4 linked regions of the Alligator mississippiensis genome follow. The protein of the gene in region 2 binds, or shares a complex with, the protein of the main gene of each other region. Links are inferred from orthologs where the notes say so. Each region holds a gene or a part of one and is shown on either strand. Other genes may lie near its edges.

The links.
Region 1: SNRPE (region 2) and GEMIN5 share a complex: the UniProt entries of both Homo sapiens proteins name them as parts of the SMN-Sm complex. The link is inferred for Alligator mississippiensis from reciprocal best matches to the Homo sapiens genes SNRPE and GEMIN5.
Region 3: SNRPE (region 2) and SNRNP200 share a complex: the UniProt entries of both Homo sapiens proteins name them as parts of the U4/U6-U5 tri-snRNP complex. The link is inferred for Alligator mississippiensis from reciprocal best matches to the Homo sapiens genes SNRPE and SNRNP200.
Region 4: SNRPE (region 2) and PRPF6 share a complex: the UniProt entries of both Homo sapiens proteins name them as parts of the U4/U6-U5 tri-snRNP complex. The link is inferred for Alligator mississippiensis from reciprocal best matches to the Homo sapiens genes SNRPE and PRPF6.

Annotation. Positions count from the first base shown.
Region 1 is NC_081832.1:77,080,968-77,088,734, reverse strand, and holds the start of GEMIN5 (gem-associated protein 5), read left to right. Parts: upstream 1-4,766; 5' UTR 4,767-4,802; coding exon 4,803-4,947; intron 4,948-6,768; coding exon 6,769-6,923; intron 6,924-7,411; coding exon 7,412-7,593; intron 7,594-7,767. Other genes in the region: MRPL22 (large ribosomal subunit protein uL22m), read right to left, coding at 619-754, 4,502-4,547, 4,632-4,677. UniProt on the Homo sapiens protein: The SMN complex catalyzes the assembly of small nuclear ribonucleoproteins (snRNPs), the building blocks of the spliceosome, and thereby plays an important role in the splicing of cellular pre-mRNAs.
Region 2 is NC_081837.1:39,630,440-39,637,305, forward strand, and holds the start of SNRPE (small nuclear ribonucleoprotein E), read left to right. Parts: upstream 1-3,859; 5' UTR 3,860-3,914; coding exon 3,915-3,968; intron 3,969-4,391; coding exon 4,392-4,418; intron 4,419-5,512; coding exon 5,513-5,575; intron 5,576-5,843; coding exon 5,844-5,922; intron 5,923-6,790; coding exon 6,791-6,846; 3' UTR 6,847-6,866. Other genes in the region: RRP12-like protein, read left to right, coding at 134-291, 665-741, 1,579-1,634, 2,486-2,565, 2,882-2,974. UniProt on the Homo sapiens protein: Plays a role in pre-mRNA splicing as a core component of the spliceosomal U1, U2, U4 and U5 small nuclear ribonucleoproteins (snRNPs), the building blocks of the spliceosome.
Region 3 is NC_081830.1:10,327,389-10,334,485, forward strand, and holds the start of SNRNP200 (U5 small nuclear ribonucleoprotein 200 kDa helicase), read left to right. Parts: upstream 1-4,089; 5' UTR 4,090-4,180; coding exon 4,181-4,225; intron 4,226-7,097. Other genes in the region: STARD7 (stAR-related lipid transfer protein 7, mitochondrial), read right to left, coding at 3,197-3,459. UniProt on the Homo sapiens protein: Catalyzes the ATP-dependent unwinding of U4/U6 RNA duplices, an essential step in the assembly of a catalytically active spliceosome. Plays a role in pre-mRNA splicing as a core component of precatalytic, catalytic and postcatalytic spliceosomal complexes.
Region 4 is NC_081832.1:2,897,660-2,905,654, forward strand, and holds the start of PRPF6 (pre-mRNA-processing factor 6), read left to right. Parts: upstream 1-4,993; 5' UTR 4,994-5,000; coding exon 5,001-5,170; intron 5,171-5,469; coding exon 5,470-5,638; intron 5,639-7,711; coding exon 7,712-7,830; intron 7,831-7,995. UniProt on the Homo sapiens protein: Involved in pre-mRNA splicing as component of the U4/U6-U5 tri-snRNP complex, one of the building blocks of the spliceosome.

The sequences.
Region 1 (7,767 bases), on a different chromosome or scaffold from region 2:
ACCTTTTCCTCCAGCAAAGCGCCTTTCGACATCCATTTTCTCTAGTTTCTCATACAATATCAATTGACCCACATTTGTTGCTAATGTTTAACTACACTTTCAGCTCAGGTGACTGAAAGGAAGGAGAGAGAATAGTCTATGATCTGAATTCGCTGCACAAAAGAGGAGCATTTTTCATTGTGCATTTGATTCTGCACTGGACAGAACTAAATCAGATTTTTAAAAATTCTCTTAACTAGATACTAGAAGGATTGAATAGAAAGGAAGCAATTAAAGAAATGCTCAGATTCTTTTCCTCAGTCAAGTCCAAGCTTAGTAGTTGTTATTCAGCCTGGCAAACACTGAAAACATTTAAATTGTAGATTTGTATTTGCACAACACGTGCACATTAAATGATCATATCAGGCAGCAATTTGAAAATCGAATAGGTCGTTCCCATTTCTAAAATCTAATACTGCACATTTCTTTTGTTATACAGTTATGAACATACCAAGTATCTCAATCTTACATTAATCACTGTATATAGCTATCGTAAGCGAGTGTCCCGGAGAATTAACCAGAAAAGGACAGTGCTTTATTTGATGTATTTAAGAAATTATAGTACAGGCAAATTCTTACTGCTGGTCTTCGAGGCTCTCCTGGCAACTGTGGAGGATAAACAACTCTATTCTTCTTCTCCCATTTTCCAATGACCTCTTGAGATGATCTTGTATGCATATTTGACAGTGGGAAAATATTTACAGATGCCAGGAACCTGCAAAACAAATTACACATTCTTTGTATACAGGTTAAAACCAATTTTTATTAAATAAATGAAATGGAAGAGTTCATAACAAACTCAAGCTTGTTTTGGTAAAGTAACATGTACCTCCCTATTAACTTGCAAAATGAGGTCTAAGAAATCCCTTTACACCAAGAATGTTTCTTATACATATGAATAATATGGGGCTCATTTAAGTGAGTGACAGGTTACACTCAGATGCGTACATCCTCCATAGGTATGCCACAGCTAAGTACAGGCAGTCCTCAACTAACAACACTTCAAGTTGTGACATTTTGCACTTGCAACGTTTCTAAATTGATACCCATTTCAACTTTATGACATCAGTTTCAACTTTACAACACTTAATCCGATGCGACGCCACGCCAGCAAACAAGTTCGCTGTGTCGCTCATCTCCCTGGAGAATATCTGTCCAAACTTCATTGGACACTTTCTTTAAGAAAGCAGACAAGACTCCAGAAAAACCTGCATCCAGGACTCCTAAGAAGACTCCAGCCAAGAACCCTTCAAAAAGTCCAACCAAGAGGCTTTCAAAAAGTCCAGCAATATCACCTCAAAGTCCTTCCAAATCAATACAATCACTATTTACAATATAAATGTATTAATGTAGCTATATTACTCATCTATAATTGATCGAGTACAAACTTCTGGAGTATTTTTGGTGAAAATAGGGCATCGGGCCTTGGTTCAGAAACCAATCCCCCATTTATAACATTGTTTCCTATGGGGAAATCAGTTCTGAGTTACAACCTTCCAACTTAAGATGAGGTTTTCAGGAACCGATTGTGTCATAAGTCTGAGGACTGCCTGTACCTATGAGTTCTGGTTCGCAGTAGAGTCATAGAAGTAGGGTCAGAAGTGACCTTATAGATCATCAGGTCCGACCCCTGCCCTGGGCAGGAGAGAAAACCGGGCTCAAATGACCCCGGCCAGGTAGACGTCAAGTCTCCTCCTAAAGACCCCCAGGGTAAGAGCCATCACCACTTCCCTTGGAAGTTGGTTCCAGATCCTAGTCACACTGACTGTGAAGTAACGCCTCTTGATGTCTAGTCTAAACTTACTCTCTAACAACTCGTGGCCATTATTTCTTGTAACCCCGGGGGGCGCTAGGGGGAACAAGGTCTCTCCCAAACCCTGCTGGTGCCCCCTAGTGAGTTTATAGATAGCCACCAGGTCCCCCCTCAACCTTCTCTTGCAAAGGCTGAACAGGTTCAGGTCCTGTATCCTCTCTTCGTAGGGTCTGCCCTGCTGTCCCCGGATCACGCAGGTGGCCCTCCTCTGGACCTCTCCATGCTGTCCACATCCCTCCTGAAGTGCGGCGCCCAGAACTGGACGCAGTACTCCAACTGCGGCCTGACCAGTGTCACAGAGGGGGAGGATCATCTCCTTGGACCTGCTCAAGATGCATCTGTGGATGCTCAACAAGGTGAGGTTAGCCCTACTGATCGAGACCTCGCATTGTCGGCCCATGTTCACCTTGGAGTCAATAATGACTCCAAGATCTCTTTCTGCCACCGTGCTCTCGAGAACGGAGTTTCCAAGCTTATAAAAGTGTGCTGCTGGTTCCCACTGGCCAAGTGCAGCACCCTGCACTTGTCTGTATTGAAACCCATCCTATTTTCGTTAGCCCACCCCTGTAACCTATCCAGGTCCTGCTGTAATCTGTCATAGATTCATAGATGTTAGGGTCGGAAGGGTCCTCAATAGATCATCGAGTCCGACCCCCTGCATAGGCAGGAAAGAGTGCTGGGTCTAGATGACCCCAGCTAGATGCATATCCAATCTCCTCTTGAAGACCCCCAGGGTAGGGGAGAGCACCATCTCCCTTGGGAGCCCGTTCCAGACCTTGGCCACTCCAACTGTGAAGAAGTTCTTCCTAATGTCCAACCTAAACCTGCTCTCTGCTAGCTTGTGGCCATTATTTCTTGTAACCCGAGGGGCGCCTTGGTGAATAAAACCTCACCAATTCCCTTCTGTGCCCCCGTGATGAACTTATAGGCAGCCACAAGGTCGCCTCTCAACCTTCTCTTGCAGGGGCTGAAGAGGTCCAGGTGCCCCAGTCTCTCCTCGCAGGGCTTGGTCTGCAGGCCCTTAACCATACGAGTGGCCCTTCTCTGGACCCTCTCCAGGTTATCCATATCCCTCTTGAAGTGCGGCGCCCAGAATTGCACGCAGTACTCCAACTGCGGTCTGACCAGCGCCCGATAGAGGGGAAGTATCACCTCCTTGGATCTGTTCGTCATGCATCTGCTGATGCACGATAAAGTGCCATTGGCTTTTCTGATGGCTTCGTCACACTGCCGACTCATGTTCATCTTGGAGTCCACTAGGACTCCACGATCCCTTTCCACTTCCGTGCCACCCAGCAGGTCATTCCCTAGGGGACATGTCCCATGTCCTTCGCTACTAGCATGCCCACCCCAAATCTTGGTATCATCAGCAAATTTAAATAGGCTGCTTTTCACCCCATTGTCCAAGTCACTAATAAAGAAACTGAACAGCGCAGGCCCAGAATAGCTATTACACACCATTCTCGATTTTCTGGCTCTTTATCCATTGGTTTTTCGTTACATAACAATGGTCCTCACAAAAACGAACCCCCAGCCTATCAAAGTCTGAAGTTGGTTGATACTTACCCACTTGTTGGTTATTTGACCGTTAACTTCAGATTACAGTACTGATTTTTACCTTTGCCAATGGCAAAATATAAAACAAAGCCTAATTTTTTTAAGTTATGGGTCACAGACAGAAGTATGTTTCCTTTACAATGAAAGCTACTCCCCCAACTACTTTTAAATGGTTAAGCCAATTTTGATCTGATAATTAACAAGAAGAAATGAAAGACTAAGGTGTTGCGTAGATAGAGAAAAATCCCAGATTTCTACAACTTTCAAACATTCCCCAACCGGAGAAGACAAAAGCTGTTTATTTGAGATATAGATATCTATAGATAGATAGATATAGATATACCTCTCTCTCTCTCTCTCTCTCTCTCTCTCTCTCTATATATATATATATATATATATATATATATATATATATGATGCCCTCTGCTGGCCAAATACTGAGGTGATAAGTGGGCAGCCAAACCTGTTGATTTTTGTGAATGAAATCAATAAGTGAAGCCAGGAGCAAACCATTTAAGCCAACTCTTTTCTTGCATGGCATATTACTTTTCTGAGTCAACTTTAAAGAGGTTTTAATCGATACTCTTAAGTCAAATAGTATGTAGACTTCTGGATACTAGAAAACTGTTAGAAATTCAAATTACTGTCACATCACATTTTGGTTAGAAATACCCAGTATCTATGCAAAGAGTTGTAAATGAGAACAACATCAGTCACCATAAAACTACATCAATTCCTAAAACTGAAATAGGAAAAAAAAAAAAAAACCCATTCACGCCTCTGCTTGAAGGCCAGATTCAGGCCAAGGACACTCGCTTTGTTGAAGCAATGGGAAAACGCACGTTAGAAGCCATCAGCCGGTCCCATCTCCCTCAAACCAGGTTTTAAGAGAGCAATTGAATTCAAGATATTTCACACCTGCTTTGACAACAGCCTTTTCCAAGCCACTATTTCCACCGCAGGTTTTTTTAAACACGTTTCTTGCCTCGTAACTCACGTGTCATAGTTTGCATTCGGCTTCAACATCGAAATGCAGCCGCTCCCCTCTCCCACACTGAGGGCACACAAGATGGGGAGCGGGGATAGACTCACCTCTCCGGCCAGGCCCCGAGGAGCATCCGCCGCGCCCAAGCGAGGCCTGCACGAATAGAAAAACGAAACACAACCCTACATGAGCCTCAAAACCACCACCCAGCGTCTTCCCCAACCTCCCCTCACTCACCCGCCATGGCCGCCGCCATTGTGGCCGCCTCGCTTTGACCGCGCATGCGCGGAACCCAGCGCATGCGCAGAGTGGCACCCGCGCATGCGCCGAACCAACGGCGGGGAGGTCAAAGGTCGTTTTGCGACCCTTGACAGCAGCGCCGGGCAACGGCAGAGCCGCGGGCACGCGATGGCGGCGGAGCGGCTCCTGCCCGCCTCGCCCAACTGGTACCTCAGCCGCTGCAGCGACGCGAGCGCCGGCGCGCGGCTCTTCGGCTTCGCGGCCCGGAACAGCGTCTACCTGCTGCGGGTCGGCGCCCAGCCCGCCTTCCACGGTACCAACCCCGCGATCCCGGCCCCGGGGCAGCACGAGGGAGCATCCTGCCCCGCAACAGGCGCTGCTTCCCCCCCGCCACGTGTTAAGCCTCCATCAGAGGCCCCAGGGGCGCGTTTATACCCGTAACCGTAAAAAAAACCCAAACCTTTAAATACCATTTTAAAGCCGTCAGTCTTACACACGTGCCCGTTAAAGCGTCGCGTGAGGGGACGTGCCGACGCGCCGCTGAGGAGCAAAACAGGCCGCGCAGCATCGAGCCTGGCTCAAAAAAAAAGCAGTGTTTTTGCTACCGCGTGTTCGGGCAGCCTCGTGTGCGTGTGCTTTATTTAGCACGTGGGCGTTTGAGCTAAAGCTCGTTCAGCCGTCTTTAGATACAGCGTCCCCGCTGCCATTTTGAACCAAAGGGGATGCTGATGCACAAGATGCTCCGGGAGCTTTATTTAGAGCCCCTCTAATTAAAGCGTTTCCCCCCCCCCCCCCCCCCGACGGTGGGGGGCACGTGTATAAACGCTCCGAGGTTCTAAGTTTAATGCGCATTAGGAAAGACGGACTAATGCATGTGTAGACACGCCCTCGGTGTTGGCCGCAGCCCAGGCTGGGGATCTGTGGCCGTGCTCCTGCTGGGACTCGACCCGGAGGGTCCTGGCTAGCGGATCCTTTCCCTCCACTCGGTGTCAGACCAGTGCTGCGTTGGGGGCAGGGAGGAATCCCCCCCCCCCCCCCCAGTCAGATTGGTATGAACTATGCAGGATTTTGCTTTCCCCTGTAGTCGGCCTTTACCTGAGATCTTTTAACCATGTGTTAACAGCCTTTTATAGGAGCAGGACGTTGGCTGCTTTCCCTGTGGCAGGTTCAGGTGTGATGTCCATGTTGTGTCCGGGTCGATGGTAGTTTCACTAAGAGGTTAGATAGGTGGGGAACGGTTTGGATAGAGCCGATCCTGCCTCGAGCAGGGGTTGGACTAGATGTGACCCCTAGAGCTCCCTTGCAGCCCCACGGCTCTAGGATGCTGTGCGCTGCGATTCACAGATTAACCGCGGAGATGGCAGATGGGAATCCGTCGTGTTAAAAGCGTCCTGCCCTGCTCTGCGCTTCTGCGGTTCCTTGGAACAAAAGAATCGCCCCGTTGTTTTTCAGGAGTCGAAAAGCAAATGAAAGCCAAGAGCTGGCATTTTCTAACAGAGTCTTTGAGCCTAACAAGGGGTCTGAGAACCGCTGATCCAGAGTGGTCTACCCTGTTATACCCTCCCTCGCATGCACCATCCTCTGTTAATTCAGCAAGTACCTTGTGAGAAGCACATGAAAAAGGAAGGTTCAAGGGTGTCAACGGTGGCATCCCTGACTTTTCTGTTTCATAGCTATTAATGGATCTCATGCATGAAATTGTCCTGTCCCTTTTCACCCTGGCTGAACTATCTGCCTCTACAATGTCCTGTGGCAGGGAGTTCCACTAATTAACTGTCCACTGCATAAGAAAGCATTTTCTCTTATTAGTTTTTTGCCTGTCTCCTGCTCATTTCAGTGGCTGTCCCCTTATTTTAGTATTCCGGGAGTTGGTGAATAACTGTTTCCTATTCATTTTGTCCACACTTTTGTTTTCTGTGGAGTGTGGGACATGCAGGGATGAGTGTGTGATTCTCCTGCTTCCAGCCACTTTTACCCCAGTTGTTTGTTAGTGGATGTTGCAATGCATAATATTGAATCTTTTGTATCGGGTAGTTTGTAGAAAGAGTACTCGTTCAGAGATGGGGAAAGGACAGCAGTTTCTCACCAAGAATTCGGTCTGTGAATGTTTCCTCTTTTTGTATTTCAAACCTAGGAGAGCTCATCGGTCATACAGAAAGGGTTTCTGGATTTACCTTTTGTCATTTCCCTGATCAGACCAACCTCTGCGCGAGCAGCTCAGATGATGGAACCGTGAAAATCTGGGATACTCAGACTCTGTCTCTTGTAACTGAGCATACGCTCCATCAGGTATAGTAGCCAATAACCAGGTCCGTGTGGCTGTAGGAAAACCACTAGAACAAGCGTTTTCCCAAAGCTTTTATTAGCTAAACAGGGGGCAGAAATACATGCTGGGACCAAATAAGAAGATCCATGTAGGGATCTACACCAGTTTCATTAAACTAATTTTAAAATCCATGTCAGTTAAATCAGTGAAGGTTTTCTGTTTGTTGGTTGGTTGGTTTGGGAAAAAACATTTAGTGTGGAGGACATCCTGGTAAGCAATTGTGTGTGGATCCCTTTGCAATCTTAATTTCCTGGCAGATCTTTGACAGCTACAGCAGTGACTTTCCCGATCTTGCTCCGTATGTAAACATTAATGCCTTTAGTTATCTTAACCGAGGATAAAACTCCTACCACTTTAGCTGCCTCATTTAGTATTGTTTCACGGTTCATCTCTGCCTAATATGGGGCTAGAGACAAGACTTTGTCATGCCCTGGTTAATCTGCATTTTCAGAATACAATCTCAGCCTTGCATTGGTCACCCCTTGTGAAAGATCTGGTTGTGTCTGGTGATGAGAGAGGCATCATCGTTTGTTATTGGCATAACAGAAATGACAGCCAACAGTTCTTCCCTGAGCCTAGGACCATCTTCTGCCTCACGTGTTCCCCTCACCAGGAGAATCTGGTAGCTATTGGGTAAGTGTTAATTATGTTGCTCCCTTTTCTTATGCTGCAAGGTAGATGGTGTGTGTGTGTTTTCATTGCAGCATAATTTTAAGGCTATTCTTTCAGAAATGGTGGTGGTGGTTTAGGAATTTGGCTAGTTCTCGTTGGCTAGAGTGGCAGGAGGGAAAAAGAAGAACCTAAATG
Region 2 (6,866 bases):
AGCCAGACCCCCTCTGCCAGCAAGAAGGGCTCCATCCTGCTCACCAGCCCCAGCTGGGTGTGGGCCTGGCCTGCACAGGGGGGTAGGGTCCCCTGGGTGGGCGCAGACCTCAGCGGCACTGCCTGCCCCACAGAGCACCTGGGCCCGGATGAGATGGAGCACCTGCTGCGCAGCGTCTGCCTGCTGCTGGGTTTCCGCACCCGCCGCGTGGTCAAGGCTGTGCTCGGCTTCCTCCGGGCCGCGCTGCTGCTCTTGGATGACAGGTTGTTGGCCCCACATATCCCTGCCGTGGTAAGTCTGGCCTGTGGGGACAGAGCTGGGCTCCTGCAGTGGGAGGCAGGGGGAGGGCTCCCTTCCCAACTCAGAAGCTGGACTGCCCTGGCTTGCAGCACATCCTAGGCTTGCACGTACCCCACTCAGCCACTGCCAAGCAGGGGGTGAGGGCTGAATTGCCCTGCTGTGGGGTGGGGGCAGCACCAATGCAGGGTCCAGGGTGGGGGAATGGTGATACTGGGGGAGATCAGCTCCATCTGCAGAGGGTGTGGGGCACCTTGTGTGGTGGGCAGGGAGCAATGGGGTGTGGGGGTGATGGGGGCGACAGGGTATGGGGCCTGGAGAGGTAGTGAGTGTTGGGATGGCAGGGTGACGATCCCTGTCCTGGCAGCTGGAGGCTTTGCAGGGCCTGCCGGGTATCATGAAGCATCACTTCCGTGCGAAGCTGAAGTTCATTCGCAACCATTGGTGAGTAGGGGATTGGCAGGGAGGTGCAGCATGGCTGAATCCAGCTTGGGCCCTTGGGGCACTCTGGGGGTGGGGGAAGCTGCGTCTGACCCGTAGCTGTGGCAAGCATGGTGTCCCTGGCGGGGGGTGGGCTTTCCTAGCTGACCCCCATCTCCCCAGAGCTTCGAGCTGGTGCAGGTGCTGCTGCCGGCCGTGTGCTACAATGTGCTGCGTGCTGAACGTCCGTGTGGCTGAGGCCCACGGGTGGAGGCAGTGCGTTCTGTGCCAGGCGGTCGCCTGCAACCAGCGCCACGAGGCGCCTCCAAGACCCAGAGGAGGGTAGAGGCTGGGGGGCCTGGGCCTGGCTCCGGTCCCACTGGCAGAAGAGAATGGGGAGCTTTGGGGTCTCATGCCCCATGGGAGACACTGGCCCTGTTAACCCTTCACCGTTTTGTTACCAGACTTAACACTAGACTCCAGGTAGTAACAATGATTTAACAAAAGCTTGAACAAGATCAGTCCATTCTGTGAGAACATTTATTGATTGCAGCAGTTTACAATTTCAAGCACGTGACAAAGAACATATACCTTTCTGTGCCCGGGGCAGTGTGAGCTCTTGGCTGCCAGCTGTCGCAGTCACCGGGGCAGCCCCTGGCACATGGCTCGCATGCTCTGCCCCATCCTGAGTATTGCTTGGGGGATAATGAGGCCCCCGGGCCCCAGGCCACCCTACTCAGGGCTGAGCCCAGCCCGCTCTGTCCAGGCAGGACCCTGTCCTTTGCTGAGATGTGACATGCTCCCTACCCACCCCCCTGGTGTCTGGGCCCTACCTAACCTGCCCTGGGTCTTGTGTTGCAGTAGGAGGCTCCAGTATCCATCTGCCGCCAGGACACAAGGAGGACTACACGCCCAAGGTAAGGGGCCCCTATGGCACCTGCCTCCAGGGCAGCAAGGTAGGGCGCCAACTCAGGCAACCCCTGTGCTGTGGTGCCCTCTGTGCCCTGCCCTGGAGCCCCGGGTGCAGCAGGAGGCAGTTGCCCAGAGCCCAGACATTCAGGGGCCCAGCCTGGCGCTGCAACATGTGTGGGGCTGTTGTAGTCCCAGAGCCGTGGGGCTGGCCAGGACCCACAGGGTCACATTCAGTCTCAGCCTTACCAGAGGCAAGACCAGCCCTGTCCAAACCAGCCCAGACAAACCTCATGTCCGACTGCTGAGCCACACGACAGTCACCCAGACACAACCCCAGGCATCACCCCTGCCCCTGACCCCGTGAAAGCAGGGGGGCTGCGGACACCAATGACCTGCTGCTGCCAGGGGGGTTCTTGGGTGCTCCAGAGACCCCAGGCAGAAGCTGTGCCCCCGCTGCAGAGGAAGGCAAAACCCCCAGCTCAGATCAATCTGACTGCAGGAAATCTCTTCCTACCCCCAGTGCAGCATCGGTCTGAGACTGAGCAGAGGGGCAAGACCCTGTAGCCAGGACCCTGCAGGGCTGGTACCAGCAGGAGCACTGGCACATCCCAGTCCCCATCCCCAGGCTTGGCTGCAGCCTGCACCCAGCACCTCTGGGGAGGCTTAAAAACCTGGGAGATGCCATGGGGCTGTGTCCCCCAGGCCCGCTGCCCCTCCACCCCCTGCCTCGAGCCCACACCACTGCAGCAGTGTTGGTCCCGGGGTTCAGGGGAAGGGGGCACTGTCCCCTGCCAGGCAGGCTGCCAGCTGCCCCAGGCCACATACATCTGTCTCCACTGTCCTGTGTGTCCTGCAGAAAGGCAGAGACGACGTGAAGGCCAGTCAGCTGGACCCCTACGCCTACTTCGCCCTCCACAGCGCCACGCTCAACAGGAGGTACGGCACCGATGCTTGCCAGGGGGGGGGTGGCCTTGCCCATGGCTGTGGGAGGGGGAGTCGGGGGCCATGGCAAAAGCTGGGTTGGGTCCTAGCTTCCCTGGATCCTTGAGCTGTTCTTGTGACCTGGCTCTGCCTCATTGCAGGGTCCAGAGCATCAGGGAGCTCCCTTGACCCTCCCCAGCCCCAACCCTATGCTGGGAACTGCTCCCACAGCCAACTCCTGCCCCATCACCCCCCAGCACCCCTTGCTGGGTGAGAATAACAAGGGGCTTCCATAGATTGCCCTGACCTGCGCCTCATCTTTTTCCCGCAGGGAGAAGGCGAAGAAGCAGGGACACTTCAAGGGGCTGATGAAGGGAGCCCAGCACGGCATCCAGGCTGGGCGCAGACACCGCCTCACTCGTGAAGTGAGTCCTGCTGGCCCCCTGCCCCCCCACCAGATGTGCAAGCCCTGCGCGTGGTGGCCCCGGCCTCGATCTCTGCTCAGTGCCGCCGGGGGTGGCGTGTGCATGGGTGTTTGTGCGAGCGGGTGTAGGTGTGCAGAGCCCACAGAGCGGGGAGCAATAAATACGATTCCCCCCGGACCGATCGATTGTTCCTCGTCCTTCTGGTGCCCCAGCCCCTGGATCGGAGACCAGAGAAACGGCCAGGACATGCTGTATGTCCAGGGGATCCTGATGGTCTTTACCCTGGGATCACCCAGCAAAGGGTGCAGTCCCAGATGGGCTGCTTTTAATTTTCTCTTCCTCAATCTGTGCCTGGGCCTGAGGGCAGGCAGGTGAACCAGGCCTTGTCCGGGGTAGCGGATCGTAGCATCGCAGAGCCGTGGGGCTGGCTGGGACCGGCAGGGTCACATCCAGTCCCAGCCCTGCCAGACGCAGGATTAGCCCCGTCCAAACCAGCCCAAACAAACCCCGTGTCTGACCTCCGCGCCACACGACACAGCCCCAGGCACCCCCGGCCCTGCCCCAGGAAAGCAGGGCCGCGGCCACCCATGACCCGCTGCTGCCAGGGCGGCAGGGATCCACCAGAGCAGAGGCTGTGCACCTGCGGCAGAGGAAAGCAACCCCCAGTGCGGACCAGTGTGAGCTGTGCGGTTGGCACGGTGCGAGCATTGCTTGGCACAGTCTGGGCTGGGCTGCATTTATGGCAGCATTCACCAGGCGCTGCAATGATGGAAGGGTGGGCAGGGCAGGGCAGTAGAGCGGGAGTCCTCCCGCGGTCTAGAGCGTCCGCCCGGAACTCCCCGCTCTTCCCGCCAAAGCGCGTCGCTTCCGGCTTCCCGGCATGCTGCGGGGTTTCCGGCGGCAGGGGGCGCGTGCAGCGGGGCTGATTCGTGCGCAGCCATGGCGTACCGCGGGCAGGGCCAGAAGGTGCAGAAGGTGATGGTGCAGCCCATCGTATCCTCCAGGGGCGCGGGGCCGCAGCGGGGGGACGACACTCCGGGGGGGGCGCTGTGGCCTGGCAACGGAGGGGAGGATTCCTGGGGGGTTGCCTAGCAACGGGGGGGGCAATTCTGGGGGATGTGGCTGCCCGGCAATAGAGGGGGAAATTCTGGGGGGGGTTGCCTGGCAATGGAGGAGATGTGGGGGGTTGCCTGGCAACGGGAGCGGGGTGTAATCCCGGGGTATGTGGTTGCCTGACAACAGGGCGGGGTTCCTGGGGAGATGTGCTTGCCTGGTTTTTGTGGGGGTGTTGCTTGGCAATGGGCGGGGAACCTGTGGGGGGGGTGTTGCCTGGCTGGGGGTGGTGTCTACCCATGCCTTCCCCAGCTCAGGTCGGCCCACGCTGTCTCCGCGCTGTTCCTTAACTGCCTGCAATAGAACCTGATTTTCCGCTACCTGCAGAACGTAAGTGACGGTTCTGGCCCCGCGCGCGGCTTCGGGGGGCCGGGAGGGGCAAGTTGGCCTGGAGCTGCTGGTAGTAGTGTGGGCGGTGTTGCTGCTTCATGTCTGGAGCGGGGCCCTGGAGAGAGGCACTGGAGAAGGAGCCTATGGGCTGCCCGGGGCCATGGGGCAGGGGCAGAGCCTGCTTGTACTAGGCTGAAAGTGGAAAGCTCAAGGGCCAGCTGGGACTGGGGTCCCTGGGAGCAGCTTGTCCCAGGGCCTTTTCAGCACGTGTCTGGACTCGGGGTCTTCAGCTTGTATCTCTGCTGTGCTGTGAACTGTCCTTGCGGCAGCCCTGGAGGTGGCTGCTCTGTTAGGAGCCTTTGCAGGTGGGGTGTGGAGTGCAAGGCATCCCCCCCACCCCAGTGCTTCCCTTCAGGTGGGCCTGCAGCTGTAGGGGATTGGACCCTGATCCCCCCCTCCCCGATAGAAGGAAATGGGTCCTGGCCTAGGTCGGCTTCTTTGTGCTGTGTTGATAGAAGGGATGGCAACACATCTGCCTGTGCAGCGTCTGATCATCACTAACGTGTATCCTCATCACCAAAAGCTTCCTTGCGATGACCCCCCAGGATTTGATTTTGCTTCTGCAAGATTATTGCAGATATTCTGAAACACGTGGGGGCCCACACATGAGTTTTCATCACTTGAGAAAAAACTTGCCTTTAGCTAAGCAGAACTGTTCCAGAGGTGGTGGACTTCCTGCCCCACAATGAACTTGGGTTCTGAAATCAACGCTTTGCTGTTACGTTAAGCAGTGTTATTATTTCCTAAGGATACCATCTTGAAGGCAAGGGTGCAGTGATGCACATGGGTGCTTCTTAAGACTCATTTCTCTATGTGCTTAGAAGTGTTTGGTAGCTGGGGATACCTTCCCCCGCCCCTTTTGTAAAACACAGTGTGACATGCCTGCTATTATGGAGTGATGGATACTATTTAAAAGCCAGTTTGGCCAGGGGCAAAGGTAGATTTTGAGTGGACAGCAACGGGTAACAGAAAATCACTTGGAATACATGTGCTGACACTCACTCTACTGTCTCTTTTTGCTTCTCATTTTACAGCGGTCCAGGATCCAGGTGTGGCTTTATGAGCAGGTGAACATGCGAATAGAAGGATGCATCATTGTAAGTGCCAGGATGTTCTTGAGTCTCTTGCTTTTCTGAACTTGCAAGTTCTGTTTGCAGCTCCCAAATGTAAACAGAGACAGATACTAGTCCTAAAGGCAGTGCTCAGCACTGTCTGAAGCAGCGGCCTCAGCCATTTCCACTTAATAAGTCTGTGCTTCTGTAAGAGAAGGCGATTGCAGTTGGTTCTGCCCTCAGTAAGGGCAGGGGAGTTGGATTTAACACCAGGGGAGTTAGGCGACTAACTGATTTTGTTGCTGGTTTTTAGGGTTTTGATGAATACATGAACCTAGTGCTGGATGATGCTGAGGAGATTCACTCCAAAACAAAGTCAAGGAAACAGCTGGGTACGTTTACATGGTTTAAATGATGGGCCCCAAACCTGTCCAGATAAGCCTTGTGTGGGGCAGCAATTTAAATGCAGACATATTAGAAGCTTGGGCTGAAGTCCAGCAAAGGCTGCTGTGAAGATGCTTGTTTTTGCTGTTTGCTATAGAATAACAGTGCTGGGGTCAGAGATCTGATAGGTATCCCATTAGATATGCACAAGAAGTCCAGAAACTAGTCTAAAACCTTAAAGAGGCAGGTAAATATCTTGTGCTTCTCTGCCTCCTCTTTGTTACTAGGATGGCCAGAGAAACCCAATCTGATCTCTGCCACATTTATCTCAGTCCTGAGACCCTCCAGCTCTCTGTCTTACTCTTTCAAGTGTGCGTTTCCAGAGTCAGGGCACGGAACCATGACTCTCGCTGTTTGCTTGTAGTTGATATTCACTGCTTGCCAGGTGCCAAAGGTAAACAATGAATCGGGGGTGTGCAGGGGTAGCTGGGGTGCCTTTTATTGCAGCACACTCCGTTATACAGGAGGAAATTGATGTACTAGCTGCAGATGGTGTTCATGTGCACCGATACAGTGAATTGTACCTTTAGATCGTATACTGCAGAGAGATGAGTACCACAGACTTACAGGCATGGAGCCCTGTGAAGCATGCAGTAGTAGTACACCTGTATATTAGCTCAGTTTGCTGTAACAGAAACCTTTGCAATCTGAACCGTAGCCTGTTGTTTTGCCAGTCAGTAGAAAGACGAGGTACTTGTTTTGTGGACTTTGTTCTGCAAAATTTTCTGCTGTTAGTCTCCTCTGTGAAATGCTTTTCCAGGTATCCTTGTTCTCAGGCCATGCCACTCCTGACCACCTTCTCTCTCTGTCTTGCAGGTCGGATCATGTTAAAAGGGGACAATATTACTCTTCTGCAGAGTGTTTCTAACTAGAATTTGTCATAAATTGGGAC
Region 3 (7,097 bases), on a different chromosome or scaffold from region 2:
GGGCTGCACACCGACCCATTCAGACACAGCTGCTGCTGGGAGCCGCTCCCCAAGGCCTTTGACATGGAGGGGAGGTGGCAGCCACAAGCCCCGCCAGGCAACACAGCCCACATGAAGCTGGAGACAGCAGCAACAGGTGAGGGTTTTCCCAGCCCACTGCATCCATGGGCAAACTGGGGGGAGGAGAGTAGATTAGCTATGGGTACTAGTCCTCCTCCCTCCTGCCTGCCATGTAACCTTACTGCTTAGGTTAGCTGGTAATGCATTACTGGTAAACACACTTCTCATTTAAATGTTTAACCTTTCACATCCTGAGTTCCAACTCTAGCTAGAGATATGAACTTGGGCCTTGGAGTCACCGTCAGCCAAGCTCCAAAAGGCCAGATTTTGGTTCATGAATCTGAAAAAGACATACTTTTAATTGTAATGACTCCAGGGATAACGAGGCAACATCTCTGGATTATGTTTTGGCCAAGTCTGCTGTGGCTTTTATATGAAACAACAAAGGAATGCATATTTTACTCAAGTCACCTTTGGTTTTGCTTTGATTGTAAACTGAATCACATTGTGCCAAGCCCTGGGTACATTAGCAAAGCTTCTAGCTTTCTTGTTATCAGGTGGAAAACAGCTGTTGTGTTTTATGTGTTGACAAGGCATCGCACCACTTGCACCCCCTTTTCAAAACTCTGCATCTGCCCAGGGTGGACCATCAAGACCATTCATAGTTTCATTGCTGGTAGGGTCAGAAAGGACCTGAGCAGATCATCCAGTCCAACCCCCTGCCATGGGCAGGAAAAAGTACTGGGGTCAAACGATCCTAGCAAGGTGTTCGTCTAACCTTCTCTTAAAGACCCCCAGGGTAGGAGCCAGCACCACTTTGATTGGAAGTTGGTTCCAGGTCCAAGCCTCCATGACTGTAAAGTAGCGCCTCCTGATGTCTAGTCTGAATCTACACTCTGCCAGCTTGTGACCAGTATTTCTAGTCACTCCTGGGAGTGCTTGGGGGACCAGAGACTCCCCCAATACCTGCTGGTCCCCTCTGACTAGTTTGTAAATGGCCACTAGATCCCCCCTCAGCCTTCTCTTGTGGAGGCTGAACAGGTTCAGGTCCCTCAGCCTCTTCTCGTAGGGCCTGCCCTGCTGCCCCCTGATCATACGGGTGGCCCTCCTCTGGACCCTCTCCATATTGTCCACATCCCTTCTGAAGTGCGGCGCCCAGAACTGGATGCAGTACTCCAACTGCGGCCTGACCAGTGCCACATAGAGGGGGAGGATCACCTCCTTGAACCTGCTTGAGATGCATGTGTGGATGCATGGCAAGGTGTGGTTGGCCTTCCTGACCGTGTCTCCACACTGTCGGCCCATGTTCATTTTGGAATCAATAACGACTCCAAGATCTTTTTCTGCCTCTGCACTGACAAGAAGGGAGTTCCCCAGCCTGTAGGTATGCTGCTGGTTCTCCCTCCCCAGGTGCAGCACCCTGCACTTGTCAAGTGTTGAAACCCATCCTGTTCTCATCCGCCCACCCCTGTAACCTGTCTAGGTCCAATTGCAGCCTATTCCTCCCTACTAGCGTGCCCACATCCCCCCACACTTTAGCATCATCAGCAAATTTGAACAGGGTGCTTTTCACCCGCTCGTCCAAGTCACTGATGAAGATGTTGAACAGCACGGGTCTGAGGACCAAGCCCTGGGGGACCCCACTGCCCACATCCCTCCAGGTCAAAAATGACCCGTCTACCACCACTCTCTGGGTGTGACCCTCCAGCCAGTTAGTGACCCATTTGACTGTGTAGGTGTCGACACCACAGTCCTTTGGTTTTTTAATGACAATGGGGTGAGAGACGGTGTCAAAGGCCTTCCTAAATTCCAGAAAGACTACATCCACCGCAACACCTGCATCTAAGGATTTTGTGACCTGGTCATATAAGGCCACCAGGTTGGTCTGACAGGACCTGCCTCTAATGAACCCGTGTTGGTTGCCCCTAAACCTAATCTCCCCTGCTGGCCCCTAGTGGGCATGCACCAGGATAACTCTCTCAAAAAGCTTACCCAGGATCGAGGTAAGACTAACTGGCCTATAGTTTCCTGGGTCCTCCTTCCCCCTTTTTTTGAAAATGGGAACCACATTGGCCCTTTTCCAGTCCTCTGGCATCACACCAGAGCACCACGAGTGCTCGTAAAGCCGTGCCAGGGGTCCTGCAATGACCTCTGCTAATTCCCTCAGCGCTCTGGGGTGGAGGTCGTCAGGACCTGCTGATTTATACAAATCCAGCCCCTCCAGAAGTTCCCTGACTAGATCCTCTCTGACCCTAGGCCTGGGTGCACCTCCCCCCGAGGCCTGAGGGGGTCCTGGCAGATGGGCTGACTTGGTCCCTACTCAGGAAAATGGAGGCAAAGAAATCGTTAAATAGGTTAGCCTTGTCGTCTGGTGTGATGACCAGATTTCCTAGCGTGTCTTGCAGAGGCCCCATGTCACCCAGTACCTTCTTTTTGCCCCCTATGTATTTAAAAAAGGACTTCTTGTTGTCCTTGATCCGGGTCGCTAGTCCCAGCTCCATCTCCGCTTTGGCCTTCCTGACCGCCCCCCTGCAGCCCCGAGAAACCGAGGTATAGTCCTCCCTGGTGACGGCCCCTCCCTTCCATTGGGTGTACACTTTCTTTCTAGCTACGAGACGTTCCCAGATGCTTTTGGCGAGCCATGGGGGAGAAACAGTCACGTGGGTGGAGCAGAGAGATCAGGACGAATCAGGGCGATAATAAGGAGCCAGGAAATCAGTCAACTCCCTCAGCGCCACCTGGAGAGTAATGCCGCTGCCAGGACACAGGGTTAAAGCAGGAGTGCTCAGCTCCCGGCCCACAGGCTGGATGCCGCCAACGGACGCCAGCAGGACCCAATATTTGAGGGGGGGGGGGCGGCAGTGGCAACCACTTGTTCCTTCTCTGCTGTCAAAAAAGGGTTGGGAGAGAAAGGAAGGGGAGAGCATGGCATTGTGCACTGGACTGAGCACCTGGGCCCTGATGCTAGCGCCCCAATCCCAGCAATGTGGGGGCCTAATCCCGGCGCACGGACCAGGCCCGATCCTAGCACGTGGACTGGCCCCGATCCTGGCGGCACGGGGGCCCCAGTGGCTCAGTCCGCGGACAAGGGCGCGGCGTCAGGGTCGATGCTGGCGCCATGGGGACCCGCACCCACCTCCGCAGCTCCTCCTCCTGGATCCGCCGCTCCTCCCACACGAAAACGCCAGCCAGCGCGGCCAGCAGGCGGCGGGCGCCGTGTCCGGGGCGGCCCTGACCGCGGCGCCACAGCCCGGGCGTTAGGTCGCGTCGGGCCCTGGCCCTCGAGGCGGCGGGCGGGCCCGGGCTGGGCCGCAGGCGGCGGGGGGCCCAAACGGCCAGGAAGCGGCGGGGCAGCAGCTGCAGCGCGGCCACGGCTGGGCCCCAGTAGCGCGCCCACATCCCTCCGATGCGCAGCGTACGGCCCCTCCGCGCGCCGGCCCCGCTCTTGCTCCTGCGGCGCCGGGCAGGCCGCGCCCCCAATCCCAGGCCCGCCCCCGCTGGGAGACCATTGGAAAGCGGCTGGGAGCAACCCTCCGGGTCCCGCCCCTGCCGGGCTCTGATTGGATTGCGTCTACTTGTGCTGTCCCCGCCGGGAGGTCAGTTGAGCGACTCGCCGGTGATAGGCTGCACCTCTACCACTTCTGCGGGTCCCGTTCCCGCTGGGCGCTGATTGGAAGGTGACTGGCTGCTGGCTAAACTGCGCCGCCAATAGTCCTCCGAGCCCTGTCCCCGCCGGACGCTGATTGGAGCGCAGTGCCGCCGTCGTAGCTGTCAACAGGCTAGGCTGCGCGCGGTCGCCTAAGAGCGCCTTACAGGCAGGAAAGACCGCGGTCTTCGCTCCACCCCCCGAGGGGTGCCCTGCGTAGTGCCTGCCGCTACACAACACCCCTGAGAGCCGGGTCCCCTTTGCCTACGCTGAAAGCAAACAAACTACACCGGGGTCCTTCCGCTGCCCACCGCCCGAGGCTACATCCAGGTCTCAGCCCTGCAGAGGAGGGAGGGAGTGCTTCCGGGACACGCGGAAACACACCGGAAGTCCTTCCCCGGAAGTGCTTGGTGGCGCGGTGGTGCGTATTGCTAGGCCGCGGGCTTGTGAGGCGGCGGCGCCTGAGGAGCTGCCATGGCGGACGTGACCGCACGGAGCCTGCAGTACGAGTACAAAGCGGTGAGTCCCGTGGGGTGCTGGAGGCCGTTGCCAGGATCGGGGCCGGTCGCGCCAGGCCTCGTGCTGCCGGGATCGGGGCTCGTCCAGGGGCTGGGGCACGGGGCGGGGCGGGCTGTGTGTTTCCACCCGTTGCTCTGAGGCCTCCGTCGCACGGTGCCGACATCATGCAGCTTGGGGAAAACTGCCCCTGCCGTCCTCCTCTCACCCGAGTCGCAGAGCAGCGGGGCTGACGGGAACCTCAGTCCGTCCAGAAGGTGTGGTCCAGCCCCGCCTGCGGCAGGCACCGCCTGTTCAAACCACCCCAGACAGATTCGTCTTCTAAACTCAACCTAAGGCCAACACCGGCCCTGAAACAACCCAGACCTAACACCTCACCCTGCCACAGAGGAAACAGGAACCAGAGCAGCCAAGGTCCTGCTGCTGTAACCCTTAACATTGTTAATATTCCCCCCAGTGCCCCACCTGCTCCAGAGGAAGGCAGCCCCTGCGCCCCTCCCCAACCAGTCCTTACCAGTCTGACAGGGGAGGGGGGGAATTCCTTCCTAACCTCACTGCAGCGCCATCAGTCTGACTCTGAGTGAAGGGTCAAGACCTGGGTTTGAGTCCCAGCAGCGTTGGCATAGCCCAGTCACCATCCCCAGCCTGGGCTGCAGCCAACTTCTCTGAGGGAATCTTAAAGCCCCCCTGATTTCTGTAGCAGAAAGTGAGGGGCATCCAGCACAGCCTAGGAAATCCTCGTAGGAGAGCACAGGCATCACTATGCCAAGATCATCCTCGCCCTGTGGCTATATGAATTCTCCTTCAACTCCTCCAGCAATGGGGAGCCCGCACCTCCCCTAAGCACAGGCATCGCTACACCTAGATCATCCCCAACCAGTGACTGTCCTCCCTCTCCTGAAACTCCTCCAGTGATGGAGAGTCCACAGCTCCCCTGGGCAGTCTGCAAACAATCCACCTTTGGAGCAGATGACAGATACAGGGGTGACTGTGGAGGGAAATTTGGAGTGCGGGAGAGATTCACTGCTCACTGAACTAATGCACTGTGTTGCAGCTCCCTCACTTTCTGGTGCAAGTGTGTTTGAGTAGCTGTGGCACCTGCTGCACATTAGATAGTGCAGAGGTCTCTTGCTCTCAAGCTACTTGTGCTGAAGTCAAATAGGGAGGGAACAGCTTCTCTGAGGCTAAACTCCTACGCTGCAACTGTAACTCCAAGCAAAGCTTTTCCATTAATGCCCTTCAGGTATTAGAAGGGGTCCTCCAGGAAGGTAAGAGCCAGGGTGGATTGATTTAAATCAAAGCAATTTAAATCACCAAGAGAAAACTCTATCAAGTTTCCCAGTGATACTTCTTCACATATTTCTTAAACAATGGGACAAATTTGATCACTAAAACATGTCAATTTACAAATCAGTACAGCATTTTACAACATCTGTCCTTAAACTCTCTCTCTTAATTTTCACATTTTATTAACTCTAACAGACAAGTCATCACAACACTAAATGTATGCTGTCCTTAAAACTTCTACAGCTAGGTCTCATCTTCCCCACTCCCACTGCCATTTTTATTCATAGACTGAAACCGAAATACAAGTGTTCCTGCTTTTTCAACTCCCAGTTGACTTCTTAGCTTCTTTGAGTGAATAATACCAAACAATGAAAATATCCTCTCTATGCCTGCGGAGGAAACTACTGCTGTGAAAAGTTGGCTTAGCAACTGAAGGAACTCTATCTCAAGGTGCCTGGCTAATGATTTCCACCAATTCAGGGGAGTGACTTTGTTCAAAACATCATCAGTAAACCATGTACTATTTAAATGGTTCCCCCCCAGCCCTGAAATTTATTATGACTGGCATAACTGAGGAGTGATTTTGAGATGCCCATGCCAAGGCAGCAGCATCTTCAAAAGTTAGGCATCTACCTTTATATCTGGGGTTGAGAATGTTGGCAAGAACATGAGGTGGAGTTGGTGCTTGATCCATTTGCTTCTTTACTGCCTTCAGTTTAACTTTCTGGTTAGGTATTTCTTTTTTTAATGTCTCTTGAAGTGCCTTCCAAATTTCAACAGCATCAGCAATGCAGCAACAACCTCTCTGAAGTTTGTTTAAGGCTATGGATGTAGGCTTCAGTATATTGAGCATATCCTCTACATTCCTCCTTAATCCAATGTAAACAGATCAGTTCTTAATACATTGTTCAACACAATGAACCACAGAATTCCATTGAACATCTTGAGAGAGAGTGAGTTTGGATCCTCCTGCTCTCTTCAGTGAAGCTGAAGCCAAATGCTTGGTACAGAAGTACTTTATGACTTCAACAACATTTTCTTTTATTTCTGAAGAAGTACTTAAGTCTTTGGCTAAAAGATGCATTAAATGGACACTGTAGCCGTATGTTATTAAGGAGCATCCTTCCGTTTCTTCTTCTAAGTATCTTCTCATTTTTGCCAACTTTGCAGCATTATCACTGACAACTGTGCATGTGACAGTTGAATTTTTGTTCACAGTTTATTACAGCTTTCACTGCCACTTCTTTTAAATGTTCTGCTGTGTGGGCATTTCCCAATGTATCTATTGTTTCTGAAACATATGCAGCCTGTTGAGGGATCACCACATAAGGACGTGGCCTTTGACATCCTGATGACATTCACCTGTCTGTGGTTGTCAGGAATGCCTTGACTAGCTAGTCAGACTCTAGTCTCCACCTAATTCTCGCCTGCCATGACTTGATGGAATGTTCTTTTGGGAGGTGATGTTGTTTTCACGAGTTTGATTATAGTGCAAGGTGCCCTCCAAGTGGGGCTCCAACCTCCCCTTTCACCCCAGCCGTACACCTACCAGTTCTTACCATGGTATCGGGTATAATCCAGAATATGT
Region 4 (7,995 bases), on a different chromosome or scaffold from region 2:
CTGTTATCTGGACAGGCCCTAAAGTCCGAACAGTCAGTAGCATATATGCTTAGGTCTAAGGGGTCACTGCCATGCCTGGCTTACAAGGTGGAAACTGCAACAGGGATTTTTACCATGTGGTGTTACAAGGCAGGAGTGGTTAAAATGGTTCAGGGACTGGGGCACATGACTTGTGAGAAGAGGCTGAGGAAAGTGGGCTGATTTAGTCTGCAGAAGAGAAGACCGAGGGGGATTGAATAGCAGCCTCCACCACTCTGCAGGGGGGCTGCAAAGAGGATGGAGCCGGGCTGTTCTCAGTGGGGGCAGACGACAGGACAAAGAGCAATGGGCTCAGGCTGCAGCAAGGGACGTTGAGGTTGGATATTAGGAAAAACTCCCTCACTAGGAGGGTGGTGAAGCACTGAAATGGGTTATCCAGAGCAGCGGTGCAGTCTCCATCCTTCATGGTTTTAAGACCCGGGTAGACAAAGTCTTGGCTGGGATGATGTAGTTGGAGCTGGTCCTGCTTGGAGCAGGGGGTTGGACTGGATGTGACCTCCTGAGCTCCCTCCCCACCCTCATTTTCTATGAGTCTATGATTCATCCCCTGGTTTCACCAAAACTGGCCTCTTAGAGCCATTGGACTCCATAGCACATGACCTCTTCTCCTGGCCACCCCGCTTTGCCTCCAAGAAACCTTCTGGTCCAAGATAATTTTCCCTGTGGTCCTGATTCATTGTGGCAGAAGCTGTAGCCTAGGGAGACTCGGATTATTGCAAGGGGCGTATATCCTTAAATGAAGCCTTCGCCATCTGTTCCGACTTTTAATTGCAAATGCGAAAGGAATAGAATCCAGTTGCTAATTAATCAGCGAAAAGATCTAAGCCATTGACATGCATGCACACGCCTTTTGTTCAGCACAGCATGAATCTATCAGGATTTTCCTGTTTATTAGACACAAATTAGGAGGAAAATTGCCATTACTGATGGGCCAGGCCCTCAGCTGGTGAAAACTGCCCTGGCTGAATGTTCTTCGGGGAGCTATGGTGATTTGGACCGTTTCCAGCCCCGGCCTGGTCCCGAGTACTTCATTTCAGTGGTTGTTATTCTCATGGGACCAAGCACGCTGCACTGTAGGAGGCTGTTATTGCATTTCTCAGGGGTCTCACTCCCTTTTATATGTTTGATACAGCCCTTTGGAAGCTAAAAGTTTGGGATACGCCAAAGGAGGCAATTGCTTGGCCATGAAACGGCAGGAAAGAGCTGTAGTTTAGAGCTGGATGGCCTCGTGTGCAGTTAGTGCATAGAAAAGGGTCCACCCAAAGTCTTTGCTGGATGGCTGAGGGGGTGAAAGTGCATGTGCTGAGCCCCTGTGTAGGACTATGTGGTCCAGAGGCAGTTTCCACTGGGCATCTTGCTCTACTATGGACTGATTGTGCAGCAGTCTCTATTTAATGCCTTGTGTCATCAGGGAGCATCTGGGAAGCAACCCCAACTGGGCAACATGAACCAACGTGGGTCGGCCATAGGCCATTCTTGATGGGGTGTGACATTAGGGGCATTCCCGAAACACTGTGACCAGAATTACCACGTGCTCCCGAGCTCTCAGCAGGGCCAGGGTACACTGATGTTGAAGAAGTCCTTGTTGGTAGGTGCTTTCTGGCTACTACACATCCAGTCCTGCTATGCTAGCCCGGTGGGATAGCTTGCATGCATTTAATTTTACAGGATCACATATGCATGCTGCAAAAGCAAAATAACTGGGTGTGGGAGGGACGCATATTAAGAGGCCTGTGTCATGTGAAGTCCAGGCAGCAGGGGATGAGTTGGAGCCAGAAGAAAAACTGTTGATCTGCCAGTGGGGACAGATCAATCAATCAAAGCCCACCTTCCCTTGCCCACAGGCATCTGCTCTAGATTTAGTAGAGAAATGAAAAGATCCAGTGTATTCAAGCAGGCATTAGGCGCGGAGTCCCAAGCACCAGAGAAGATGTAGTAGGCCATAGCCAACTGTATTGCCCAAAAGAGCCACTTTGGATGTCTTCTAGGAGACTGTATCTGTGCACGCTTTATTGCTTTGCTGCCCCACAGCAGCAGGGGTTAACAAAGCCCTGAGCACAGTGCAAATAATAACTGCTAACAGTGACAGCGATGACAGTGATTACAGCCTGGACCCGAGGAAGACCGAGCCTGCCGGGGTCCTGAAAAGAGAGCGCTGTCTCATTAGGCGTGACACTCTCAACCCGATCGGCATTCAGGCAGCATCTCCAGCGGCGTCACTCTTCTCCACACAGTCCTTCAACCCTTGATCAGCGATTCAGCTTCAACCCTTGATCAGGACCCCCTTCATCAATTATTCACTGTCCTGCTTTCCATCAGGGGGGTAGCAGAGCCAATGTCGGGGCTGGAGGGGGTGGAAGCGGGGACGGACTATGGCAAGGCTTGGTTTGTAGGGGTTCACGGCCTTTATCCCCATCCCTTCCAATCACCCCTTTTTGCACATTATCCCTTCCAGTTCCTCTCCCCCTTCCTTTACATTCAATGCACGGAGACAACAACAAACCCTCCAGCGCAATGCAAAATTGACTGTTCTACAATTTGGGGCTTGCTTGGAATGGGGGGAGGTCAGGTCACGCTTATTCTAGCATCCTCAAAGTCAGCTGCGATGTTTAGTTCCCCCCATTTCTCCTACCCCAGATATAACCATCACCAGAAAATCCTACACAGATAGCAGCATACCAGTTCCAAACCCTCTTCAAACAAGAATAGATGCCTAAAATTGCTCTCTGGCAGTACAATAGCAGTAATTTTCATGGCACTGAAGCATGCTTGCAATAAATGGTGTTTGCTGTTGATTAAATGCCGTCGCTCCGCTTCAGCATTTAATCAAGTACAAGCTCAGCTTATTGCTTTGCATACTCCACCGCCATGGATATTATCCCTTAAATAAGCAATACAGCAAAATACAGCCACGTAGATTAAATTTAACTTCATAGAGAGAGCTAAGATATGAAATTGATTTTCTTGTAAAGGCCTGATGAGAAAGTAGTGCACTTGAGGTACAAAACTAGGCTGTGATCATTAGGGTGAGGAGTGTATCGAATTTTACTCAAGTTCTGAAGACTTTTTTTTTCCCCCTGTGAGTTTTGAATGAGTTCTGGGAAGTTGTAAAGCCTGCTGAGGCTGCATTGGCTCTCAAGCATTAAGGCAGACTCGGTCTGAATTCCACGCATGGACATTCAAAAAAGAACCGATCTGAGTCTCTTTTTTTCCCTGTCTTCAATTATGCACCTGAGAGGTGATTATTTAATGAGGGGCAAGTTAATGTGCTAAGTACTCCACCTGGTGGTATATACAAAACCGGAACCAAGCAGATTTCATGGGGGAAAGCCTCTCTGCTTCTCAGGAGGTACTGAAAAATCTCTGATAGCGGGCAGTGGTCACTTTAGACCTACGTGGTGTCTTGTGGAGACCCATCCACCAGCAGCTGGAACTCCAGTGATATTTCCAGCAGAGCTGATGTCCAGTTTGGCTCTGCTGCTGTCACTCAGGCGAGGATTGCTTTAGGAACGCACCATTTTTTAAAGAAGCTGGGCTAAGCATCAAGCAAACCAGGGTGGATTTAGTGGCATGCATTGAACACGTAAAGTGCATGGGTGATGTGAGCACAGGGGTTACCCTGCTGCACCGTGATGCAGAAGCAAATGCCCTGTGATTACAAGTTGGTTGTAATCGTGTTCGTCTAAGGACGAAGGGCGGTTGTGCCCAAAAGCTTGCAAAGAACAATTTCCCCAACTATTTAGTTGGCCTAATACAAAAAATGTCACATCTACTCAAAGAACCTCGTCCGCCCGTGATGACGATGAAGCTTTCCCCACCGACCTCTGAACAACGTGCGTGCCTCCCGAGCTCTGATGGAGTGAGACTCCTCAGCTGGGTTTCAAAGGGGTTTCCTTGAAGGAGGGTCAAACCCTCTGTGTAGCTGAACTCCCCTTCTTATGAGGTCCTCCTGGACTTTGCAAACTCTGTGTTAATAAGGCCCTTCATCCCCATGAGAGAGACCCCCTCAAAGCCAGTCGGCAAATGAAGCCGCATCTCCCAACAAGTAGCACAGATCTGTGTGCCGCAGCGCTCATGATGCTAAAAGACTCCTGGGCTTTGTCTGTGCATGGGCTGCCAATGCTGCTTCTACCCCTGAGACCTGAAACATTGGTAGCAAGCCTGGGAGGGATTTCCCTATATTAATACAAGCACGGCCTCTGTCCTTGGTCCTAGGTAGACCTTCCCCGCAGCATGGCTCCATCGCCGTGCATTGCAGGCCTTGGGGATGAATGGTGCAACCCAGGCTGGGGGCCTATTCGACGGGCCAAAGGGAATCGTGGGCCAATGAAATTATAAGTCTTAATAAGGGAGGTCACAACCGATTCCTTGGGACAAATAACCAACAGGGCCAAGCGGGAGGTCACAGGTTGCTATCAAGGGAGCCAGAAGGCGACACAAAGCAGAGCACCCCGAGCAGCACCCGTACGCACCGAGGGCTGGAGGGATGCCGTGCACGCAGCATTATCAAATCTCATGATTTTTGGCGTGGCTTGTAAAAGTTTACGCGTCAGGAACATGCAACAGCGTAGCTCCTTCATATCCATTTATATTGCTAATACTTATATAAAAGAAAGAGCTGCGGTGACGCGTGAACTTTTACGACAACTTTAATCACAAAAGTTGGCAATGTTGCGGAGCCTGACCTCTGCCATGTGGTGTGTAATGCACATGCATGTTACATGCAGTGCGTTGCAAGGGGCATGCCTGCAGTGGGGGGGGGGATGCTTGTTTGCAGCAGCAAGCAGCAGGCACCTGCAAGCAGCCTGAGCCAGGCGCGCATGCGCACACTCCACTCACAGCCAACCCCCTCCAACATTCCATCCCCCCTCCCCTCTGCTTGCGCCCCTCGGCCCGGAAGCCCGTAGGCGGGACTTCCGGCCGCGGTGCCTGCCTGGGTAGCACCGCCTCCGCTTCCCAAAATGGCCGCCGCGGCCGCTTCCTCTTCCTCTTCCTCCTCAGGCGCGGGCGGCTCCAGCTCGGCCGCTCCCTCGGGCTTAGCCGCCGCCATCACGGGCACCATGAACAAGAAAAAGAAGCCGTTCCTGGGCATGCCCGCGCCGCTGGGCTACGTGCCGGGCCTGGGCCGCGGGTGAGCCCTCCCCCCACCCCTCCCCGGGCCTGGGCGAGGCGAGGGGGGGCTGCGGCGCCTCTCAGCGCCCGTCGGGCCTGGTCCCGCGCGTTTAGAGGCACCAAACCTTGTGAGGGAAGCCGGGCAGTAAAAGCTCGGCTTCCTTGCTCCACCATGGTGTCCCTTGAAGGGGGGGAGCTGCTCCTGCACAGTGTGTTTCAGCAGTGGGGTGCTGCACTTGTGAACGGCTGGATTGTTTTGTTCCTCGCCTTCGTATTATCGCTGCAGACTAAATCCTAGCTGCTGGTCTCTCCGTTTAGCGCTACGGGCTTCACCACCCGTTCGGATATCGGCCCGGCGCGTGATGCCAACGACCCGGTGGACGATCGCCATGCGCCGCCGGGGAAGAGGACCGTCGGGGACCAGATGAAGAAAAACCAGACGGCAGACGACGATGACGAAGATCTGAACGACACCAATTATGATGAGGTGATGCTTCTCCTGTCTGACGGGGGGGGGAAATGTAATACCTCTCTCCCTGCCTCCCCCCTCATCCCAAAAACACCACACAAAATCATCCCGACGCCCTGTGCCGTGCTATGTGAGGGAACAACGGCAGAGCCAGTTCGCAGCACCCCTTGCCACGAGTTGCGTGCGTGTGTCATGCCGCAGCGCGTATGGGCGTGTTTTTCCGTGGTGATATTTGCACGTTGCGGTCGGGCTGTTTGTACTGAGCCCAGGGGGTTTGGGGAGGGATGTTGAAATACAATATCAAGGTGAGTGCTTTGTGGACCGTTCCTCTGATGCTTCTCCAGAAACGAAGTCGAAACAGCTGCTTTTTACCCCATCGTTGAGATGATCCGGTCCCAATAAAAACTTGCGTTTAACTCAGTAAAATTGACTCGTACTGAGATACAGCGTTGTTTGTTTTGCATTTGTTTTCAATAGTTAAACATTTCTGCTAATGAAACGTTTATGCAATTATCACTTACCGAGAGGTTTTTGCTGATGAAATTCACTACTATGATAGGCTGCTTTAAGGCTATTTTAGTTGCATTTCATAGACGTTGGGGCTGGAAGGGACCTCGAAAGATGGTCGAGTCCAGCCCCCTGGCCCAGAGGCAGGAGGTCAGCTGGGGTCAAAGGATCCCAGCAAGATAGACATCCAAATGTCTCTTAAAGGAGTCCGGAGTAGGCGCTTGCACGACTGCTGGCGGCAGTCTGTTTCAGGCCTTGGGGACTCGGACAGTAAAGAAGTTCCTTCCTTGTGTTCAGCCTGAAATGGTTTTGGAGGAGTTTGTGACCGTTTGACCTTGTCATCCCTTGGGGCGCTCTGGTGAACAGACGTTCCCCCAGATCCTGGTGTTACACCCCTTATAAACTTATAGGCAGCCACCAGGTCCCCCTTGAGCCTGCGCTTTTCCAGGCTGAAGAGCCCCAGGGCTCTCAGCCTGTCATCATAAGGCCTGTTTTCCTGCCCTCCGATCATGCGCATGGCTCTCCTCTGGACTCTTTCAGACCTCTCCACATCCTTTTTAAATTGTGGAGCCTGGAATTGGATGCAGTACTCCAGCTGCGGCCTCACCAAGGCCAAGTACAACAGGAGGATGACATCCCAGGATTTGCTTGAGAAGCATCTATGGATGCAAGCCAGAGTTTTGCTCACTTTACCAGCTGTGACATCGCACTGGTGGCTCATATTCATCTTGTGGTCGGTCAATCCTGACCCCCAAGTCCCTTTCAGCTGCGGTGCTAGCAGGTGTAACACTGCCGAGCCTATAAGCGCGATGCGGGTTTTTTTGCCCGAGGTGGAGTACCTTGCATTTTTCAGTGTTGAATGCCATCAGGTTTTCATCCACTCATTTTCTGAGCCTGCCCAGGTCAGCCTGGATCGCCCTCCTGTCCTCGGGTATAGACGCTTTACCCCAAAGTTTAGCATTATCGGCAAACTTGGCCAGTCCGCTTCTGATACTAATGTCCACATCATTAGTAAAGATGTTAAACAGTATAGGCCCAAGGACTGAGCCTTGGGGGACTCCACTGGTCACGGTGCACCACAGTGATTGACTTTTATTGACTACCACCCTTGGGACTGGTGAAAAACTGACGCAAAATACCTATTAAGCAGGTTGGCTTTTTCCTGGGCATTGGTTGTCAGTTGTCCCATATGGTTTAGCAGGGGTCCAGTGTTACCCTTGCTTTTCCTCCAGGTCCCCACATATCTAAAAATGGACTTTTTATTGTCTTTGATACATGTAGCCAGTTGGAGTTCAGTCGCAGCCTTGGCTTTCCTGGTTTGCACCCTACAGGTCCAGACCAGTGCAGAATACTCCTTTGAGGTGGATCTAGTCTTCCATCCTTTATAGGTCTTTCTTTTTAGATGCAGGAGGTCTACAAGTCCCTGCAGAGCCAAGGGGGCTGATGTGCTGTGCCCTTTTGCTGCCTTTTTACTGTTAAAATTGTCTCTGAGGGGTTTTCTTTCTCTTGAATGACTGTATTGGCTTTGCTAGATGTGTAACTGAACTTTGAAACTAAAATGTTTTGGCCCTTTAAAATTTTCAGTTTAATGGCTATGCTGGGAGCCTGTTCTCAAGTGGTCCTTATGAGAAAGATGATGAGGAAGCGGATGCTATTTATGCAGCATTGGATAAGAGGATGGACGAAAGGAGAAAAGAGAGAAGGTAGGCTTAATTATGGAACTTCAACAAGGCAGTGTTTTGTAGTTATGGTATAAATCTAGGAATCAGTTCTTCTGGCTTCTCTGTTGTTGTGCTGCCTTGCTCTGTTACCAGGGCAACATTTTCAAAAGTCACTACTGAATCAGTGTGAGAGAACTTTCTGCTTCA